Linked DNA regions of Danio rerio. The protein of the gene in region 1 purifies or fractionates together with the protein of each later gene. This does not show direct contact. Links are inferred from orthologs where the notes say so. Each region holds a gene or a part of one and is shown in the gene's direction. Other genes may lie near its edges. The genes, in order: dpf1 and bcl7a.

The links.
Region 2: the proteins of dpf1 (region 1) and bcl7a purify together in Homo sapiens (affinity purification with mass spectrometry; 3 studies listed by BioGRID and IntAct, counting the BioPlex papers as one, with this or other methods). This does not show direct contact. The link is inferred for Danio rerio from reciprocal best matches to the Homo sapiens genes DPF1 and BCL7A.

The regions. Positions count from the first base shown.
Region 1 is NC_133190.1:16,350,088-16,353,913, reverse strand, and holds part of dpf1 (zinc finger protein neuro-d4), read left to right. Parts: intron 1-2,038; coding exon 2,039-2,199; intron 2,200-2,294; coding exon 2,295-2,402; intron 2,403-3,826. UniProt on the Homo sapiens protein: May have an important role in developing neurons by participating in regulation of cell survival, possibly as a neurospecific transcription factor. Belongs to the neuron-specific chromatin remodeling complex (nBAF complex).
Region 2 is NC_133180.1:42,613,668-42,618,070, forward strand, and holds the start of bcl7a (B-cell CLL/lymphoma 7 protein family member A), read left to right. Parts: upstream 1-1,416; 5' UTR 1,417-1,481; coding exon 1,482-1,573; exon of another isoform or gene 1,574-2,412; coding exon of another isoform or gene 2,413-2,414; intron 2,415-2,493; coding exon 2,494-2,575; intron 2,576-2,971; coding exon 2,972-3,068; intron 3,069-3,453; coding exon 3,454-3,609; coding exon of another isoform or gene 3,610-3,627; intron 3,628-3,717; coding exon 3,718-3,815; intron 3,816-4,403. Other genes in the region: cfap251 (cilia- and flagella-associated protein 251), read left to right, coding at 898-1,019.

The DNA.
Region 1 (3,826 bases):
ACCACAGGTGAACTCCAATTAAGCTGCTGAAACATCTCAAGTGTGGAAACAGTGGAAACAGAATGTACTTGAGCTCAATTAAGAGCTTCACGGCAAAGGCTGTGAATACTTCTGTTCATGTGATTTTTCAGGTTTTTTATTTTTAATAAATTTGCAACAATTTAAAAATTTTTTTTTCACATTGTCATTATGGGGTATTGTGTGTAGAATTTTTCCATTTTGGAATAAGGTTGTGACATAAAAAGTCTTAACATACAAAATATAAAAAAGTGCTTTGAATACTTCCCGGATTCACTGTATATGACGGAATAAATAAAAGCGTTAATCAGAGGCAACATTCAGTTCCTTCCCTGCCAACTAGCTAGCAATTTTATGCAGGACAATTAACCTCATGACACAGCAAAACAAGTAAAGCAGTTCCTTAAAGTTTTATTCTTTAGGTGATGAATTAATCTATAGAAAGTTAAAGTTGAAAAGGAAAAGTTAGTTTTGGTAATCTTCCTTTTGCTTCTTTGTTTGGAGTGATGGTCTTTCTCTGATGAAGTCAGTTTGACAGCTTCAGCCACAATATTCTTAACCACGCCCCTCTTACTGTTAATTTGCTATGAGGGAATGATGCACTGAAAGCCCCACCCCCTACTCAATATTCCGTTTTAGTTGAAAGTACATGAACAGTAATACAGGGGTAAATAAATCTTTATTAACATTGGTAATAAAAGTCTCAACAACTTCCAGTTCACATGGATTTTCAAGCTATTAAGGCGATTGTGCTACCCACTGCACCACCATGCTGCCCCTGAAGTCATTCAAAGCAATTCAAATCTGTCATTTTTGCTTTAAATTATTTAAAACCTCATTGTTATTTTTGTGGGAATGACGATCATATTTTCTCATGTAACATCCTAATAAAACAAATGTATAAAAAAGAAAAGGTTACAGTAATGCCGTAATAAATGAATCTTTGTTAACATTGGTAATAAAAGTGTCAGCAACTTCCAGTTCACATAGGTTTTAAATAAAAATATTGACAATATGAAAGGACAGCCTAGAGTCCTGATTTACACTTGATTGAAAGTCCTTAATAGGATGTTAAGGTCATTTAAAGCTATTTAAATCTGTCATATCTGCTTTAAATTATTTAAAACCTCATCGTCATAAAACAAATGTATAAAAAAGACAAAGAATTTAAGTAATAAATTAATCTTTGTTAATATAAGTAATCAAAGTCTTAGCAACTTCCAGTTCAAATGGCTTTTTAAAAATACTGACAAAATGAAAGGACAGCCTAGAGTCCTGAACTAAACCTAATTAAAAATCCATGGTGAGATGTCATTCAAAGTTATTCAAATCTGTCATATCTGCTTTAAATTTTTTAAAGCCTCATTCTTGACACATAGGTGAAACCTACTGGTTTGAAGAATTTGAGAAAGTACAAGGATTTGAAATGGCAGTGAATTAGTATTTTGGTATTTTTGTCATGCTTAAAGGGTTAGTTCACCCAAAATTGAGAATTTGGTCATCATTTACTCCATTATTTACCCCATTATTGCTTCAAATCTTAAAGAGTTTATATATTTTTTTCTGTTCAGCATAAAAGAAGATATTTTGAAGAAAGCTGGAAACCTGTAACCATTGACTTCCATAGTATTTGTTTTTCCAACTATAGAAGTCAATGGTTGTTGGTTAATGGTTTCAAACATTTTTCAAAATATCTTCACCAGTGTTTAAAACAATAAAGACTCTCACAAAGGTTTGGAACCACTTGAGGGTAAGTAAATTTACATGTTTGGGTGAACTTTGTTTAATTAGAGCCTTTAATATGTCGTGAAATGTTTCATTTTGTGACAAGATTTTTGGTAAATAAACTATTGGTATACTGAATGACTTGTTAGTTTGCATCTTTAGTCGTGGCTAACTGATTTTCATAGTCATTATTTCATTGTTTAGAGAAAATAAAATGAAACAGGCCACAATCTCGTACATGAGAGGAAAAAAAATAACCTGTATTAAACTTAGATTGTTTTTGAAATGTTTCCAGCCTTGGTGAGGAGTTTTATCGTGAGGCGATTGAGCACTGCCGCAGTTATAATGCTCGACTTTGTGCCGAACGCTCCATGCGCCTGCCCTTCCTCGACTCCCAGACAGGTGTAGCACAGAGTAACTGCTACATATGGATGGAGAAGACTCACCGTGGGCCAGGTGTGTGTCTGTGTGTATCCTACTACACAGGTGACTTTAACATAAGTTTTGGGTTTTGGGTGTTTATGTGGCCACTCTGCATCTGTTTGACCCAGGTGTGGCTCCAGGGCAGCTCTATACCTATCCTGCACGGTGCTGGAGGAAGAAGAGACGGTTGAACATCTTAGAGGATCCACGTCTTGGACCCATCGAGTTTAAAATCGGTAAAATTAAACTAAATGTTTGATGTTTTTGTAAGTATGACAATCGTATTTTTCCACATATCATCCTAATAAAAAATGTATAAAAATTAAAACGGTTACAGAAATGCAGTAAGAAATGAATCTTTGTTAACAGTTAATGAAAATAAAGTCCTACATTGTTAGTTAGCTCACAGTGCATTAACTAATGTTAACAAGCCTAAAGATATTTTAATAATTCATTATTCTGTGTTGAACGATAACAAAAGGCAACACACTGTTATACTACATAAACTTATTATTCTCTTTCCATCTTTTTCTGAGACTAGTTTCTATATGCATCTCCTCCTAAACCATTCAAGTTACAAAGACCAAACTAACTGCAAACCTCCAAACTGCTCTGACTCGGGTTGCTATATCTTTTCCAACTTGTCAGAAAAAATGACCCGGAAGTTTCGGAAAAGTCCCATTGACTTAACATTAGACCAAACTATGTGACCTCATAACTCTGCTCCAGACTGTCATACAGAATTAAGTTTGGGCTCATTTAACTCAGACTACTAATCTGCCAATCAATGATATATTTTAACTTAGTAGCCACACCCTAGCAACCACTTACAGTACCCTAGCAACTGTTCCATAGACTTACATTGTAAAAAAATTGCCATTGACTTTACATTGAACATACTAAAGACATACAAATTCATAATAGCAATATACTAATCCATGCTAGAACTATGCTAATTCAAATTAGAATCATGCTAATTTATGTTAGCAACTGCCTAGCAGCCACTCAGAACACCCTAGCAACTTCCTAGCAACACCTTAGCAACTGCCTAGCAACCACTCAGAACATCTTAGCAACCGCCTAGCAATTAATCAGAACACCCTAGCAATGACTTAGAAACTGCATAGCAATCACTCAGAGCACCTTAGCAACTACATATCAACACCTTAGCAACCACTTAGAACACCCTAACAACCACCTAGCAACACCTTAGCAATGACCTGGAGTATCCTAGCAACCGCCTAGCAAAGCCTTTGCCACCACTCAGAACACCCTAGCAACTCCTTAGCAACTGCCTAGCAACCACTCAGGACACCCTAGCAACCACTCAGAAAATCCTAGCAACTGCCTAGCAACACCTTGCAACCACATAGCAACACTTTAGCGACCATACAAAACACTCTAGCAACCGCCTAGCAAGAAACATGCCAATCCATACTAGAAACATGCTAACATATATGTACTTATCTATCTATGCCAACTGTTTCTTAAAAACTACTTTAGGTATTTAAACTTTAAAACTACTTCAAACTTTCAGACTAGGCTTTCTCAAGCCACCATAAAGTTACGAGTGTCTGAACTTTACTCTTCTAGTTAATAAATGATGTATAATGCATTTTTCATCATTATTAGTTCAAGTTGGTAAATTCATTAAACAGCT
Region 2 (4,403 bases), on another chromosome or scaffold:
CTGCCTAGAGCGGCAGTTCAGCTTGCTCCGGCCCTGTGTGGGAAGCACCAACATGTTTTATCATGCTAAATGCATTTTAAGGTTCTGTTATAATGCTGCTTTGTGAGCTCTAACAAAACACAAAACATGTTAAACATCTTTGGTGTTTCCCACTACATGTTTTCTATAAAACCAAACCAAGGGTGGTCAAGGGTATTTGACATAATTAGCATGGGAACACAGGACATGGTCCTTGTCACTAAAACTGCTTATTTCTTTGGACTTAAACATTTTTGAAAGCATTACCAGAAAATAATAAAAAATATATAACACTATGAAAAGGCGACACGGTGGCTCAGTGGTTAGCACTTTCACCTCACAGCAAGAAGGTCACTGGTTTGAGTGCCAACTGGGTCAGTCGGCATTTCTGTCTGAAGTTTGCATGGTCTCCCCGTGTGGGCGTGGGTTTCCCCCACAGTCCAAAGACATGCGCTATAGGTGAATTGGGTAAGCTTAATTGTCTTTTGTGTGAGTGTTTCTGAGTTTGTATGGGTGTTTCCCAGTACTGGGTTGCAGCTAGAAGGGATCCGCTGTGTTAAAAATATGCTGGATAAGTTGATGGTTCATTCCGCTGTGGCGACCTCAGATTAATAAAGTGACAAAGCTGAAGAAAATTGAATAAATTAATAAATGAACATGTTCATTTACACGTTCATCTTACATGTTTTGCCTTTACATTGTTGGTTATGTTTTGGGTTAAATCATAGGCAAGTGAATGTGCAAATTAGCGTCTTTGCTAATAATGCACTCACATATATAACCTCTGCAATGTTAAAGACTATTTGGCTAAAATACATTATGATTTTCAAAATGTAGCAATCTTTTGATCTCAACAAACGTTACTCTTTCTCCTTTCAGGGTCTCTGTTGGAAAGTGTGCTTCCAGCTGAAATCACCATGGACGCATTTGCCTCAGATATATTGGGCTTTTCTGTCGCCACCCAGGAGCTCCATCAAGAACACCACGGACAGGAGTCATAATATATTTACATTTCCCTGCTTATGTTCATGCGTTGTCAATAAGTAATGTATTTTAAAACAGATGGACTGTTATTGTGTGGTTAGCGAGCTGTTGTGTTATATGTTTGCGTTCAATTCTTTCGCATAGAGATAAAATCATACGAAAATAAAACATGTCGTTTGTCAACATGCTGTCGATTGAAGTCTCCATTTTTTCCAGATACATTTATAAAACGTGTGTTGATGTCGTGGTGCTGGTTTCGATTCGCTCGTCTAGCTCAGCAATCTGATAAAATATCGTTTTCTTTGCTCTGTTCGCCAACAAAGGAGCGAAACGCGTACCCGCATTGACCGTGTCTCTCATGCTTCGAGGGCATTTGGCTTCAGCGCAGGCGCACAAACCCCGCCTCTCTCCTGTGCTGTGTGCATTCGCATTGTGTCTAAACAGGCAGCGAGCAAAAAGATATTTTACCAACAGCAGTAATGTCGGGCAGGTCGGTTCGAGCGGAGACGCGGAGCAGGGCGAAAGATGACATCAAGCGGGTTATGGCTGCAATTGAAAAAGTGCGGAAATGGTAAGAGAGAGCGTCTATCCGTTAACGAACAGCACAGACAGCCTGTGGGGGAGGAGAGACACCGAGAAACAATGAAATGAAAGCGAAGAGAGCGTTTATTCCACTCCAATTTCACTCAGATGTACTGTTTCTGCGATTCTGCGCGCGGCTGCTCCTTTGTCGGCTGTGTGAAAACATAGTTTGGGAAAATGTAGATCGCGTTTTTTCTTCCATTAAATTTTTATGTGGGTTGAACCTAGAAGCCATTTCGTTGCAGTCACATGAAGGCTTTGCTGTTAGAGCCTGTAATGCCGGCTGAATAGTAACCGAACGGGCTGACATGAGGAAACTAGAGTGAACCGTCCGTACCGAACAGAAAGTGCCGGTGAACGGGCGTTTGACTCGTTCATCTCGTGTTGAAAGTGAGAGAGTCGCGCTTTGAGCGGCGGCGCGTGAGGAGAGTTTGATCCACGCGCGGGGTTTTAAACTCAGCCCTGAGCCGCAGTTTCACATACACTTTTTTACACTTCAAGCAACTGCTGGGGATTTCGTTTAAACTTAAGTTTAAGTTGAATTAAGGGTTTTCAAACCATGACAAATTATTTGTTGGACTAACAATAATTACCAAAACAATATTTATTCTATAAAAGTATACATGTTAAATGAGAAACAATCGTGTTTTTGTGGCAACGTGCGATTAAAATTGTACACATCTGTGAGCTAGTGAACTGCATTATTATTAGTATTTATTTTTATGATAATAATTATTTACTATTGATATCGATAATTTGTTCAGTTGCATATTCTGCAAATGCATCTTGCCTAAATAATGGCTCATCTGAGATTTCTTATGCCTCTAAATGTAAGTGATTTAGTGGTTTGTCCTCATTTGTCTGGCGTTTCCTTTGTCTTTGATATCTAACAATAACATGCATCTCCAGGGAGAAGAAATGGGTGACTGTTGGTGACACGTCACTGCGAATCTACAAGTGGGTACCAGTGACGGAGCCCAAGTCAGATGATGTAAGTGACATTTATTTACAATAACGCACAGCTGTTGCAGTTTTGATAACCTAATAATTATTGTAACATTATGGACCACAACCAACAAATTCATTTGAAAGTTGGAACAAAATAGTCAAGGTAAAATATGACGCAAATGACTTTTTAATGAGTAATTCTATAGTTATTATTTTTTTAATTTAGTAAAGGTAAATTAGTAGTGGTATTCGTTGAGGGGGAAACATATTTCAGTTGTAGCATAACACAGACCAGTATTATTGTTTTTAACAGAGATTAAATTCATATTTATTTTAAATAAAATAAGTTAACTAAAATGAGTCGTATTTAAAACAGACACAACATATTTTACTATCTTCTTCATATGCCTTGATTGCAATATGTATTTATGTCACACAGAAGAACAAAAATAAGAAGAAAGGCAAAGATGACAAGTATGGCTCTGAGGTCACGACCCCTGAGAACAGCTCCTCTCCTGGAATGATGGATATGCATGGTAAAACTGTACACCTAAACACATCTCAATGTTTTACCTTTTTCAAATTAGTATTACATGCAGTAGTCTTTAAACCAATTTATGTGAGAATTTCAAATTGTGTTCTTTGTGATCCTCAAACAGTTGGTCTAATATGCATGACTAAGATTTTGAAGTGTTACCTGCTTTTTATTAGAAAAAAATCATTATTATAATTATTAATGATGGCAGCTTTGAATGTGCATTTTTTCCTCTTAACCAATAGAGGGAGTTGATGAAACAGTTTTACTCTGTGAACTGGTTATTTGCTATGCTATTCCGACCTGTAACCACCTATTAACAGTTACAAATGCATGGACATTTTCAGATATTAAAACTTTTTTTGTTTCTATTTTTTTACCCACAGATGACAACAGTAACCAGAGCTCGATTGCGGACTCTTCCCCATTGAAGCAGGAAACCAGCAACAACACTAGTCCAGCACCTGAGCCCATGGCCGCTTCTCAGAATGACAGCAGTGACTTGAAAAACGACCAGTATCCTTCCAAACAGCCTTCATCTGGTCAGGATCATAAGAGTGGTTTGTGCATTGAATCCTCTAGAGGCTTACTATCCACTTGTCTGTGTTTTTGGTTTGTTTGTTTTAATGAAACCTTGTCATTATTTTCAGAACAAAACCACTGCTCATCGGAGTCTATGACAAGCAAAAGGGACAGCAAGTCACAGGGGGATTCAGAAAGCTTTTTAGACTCTTCCAAATCGGCCCAGGTACATACATACAGCATCACTTGCATATTTATTCATAAATCAACAGTTTTAAAATAAGATTTAAAATAGTTTTTAAAATACATCCATATTGCTCAATGAGGTGTTTAATCCTAAATACAGCAAAACAGCTATATTGTGGATTAATGTTACATTTCATGATTCATATTTTATTTCATAGAACAAAGTAAAGTTGTTCCTAAACCTTTTATCCTAAAGCTAGAGATGTGCTGTTGTGAACCGAGGCTTCGAAGCATGTATCAAAAAATAATACATCTCGCAGTAAAGCAGTGTACCGGAGTTAAATTTGTTTTGCCATAATCACATGATCAGTGACGTACGAAGCTTTATTTTTACCCATACCCACATGACTGCTTTAAATTTTGATTTAAAGGTTTAAACATCCTTGCAGGTTAGGAAAGTGTATAGCGAGAGATGAGGTGTCGATTACTTTAATTTCTACTGCTTCAAAGCACTGCACCAGTGCCCCGCACAGACTAAAGTATAATAGTAATTTATAGTAAAAAACTTTTTAACCATACTAAAGTGTATTATTTTTTTTTTAGAAGGCCACTGCATATTGTAGTATAG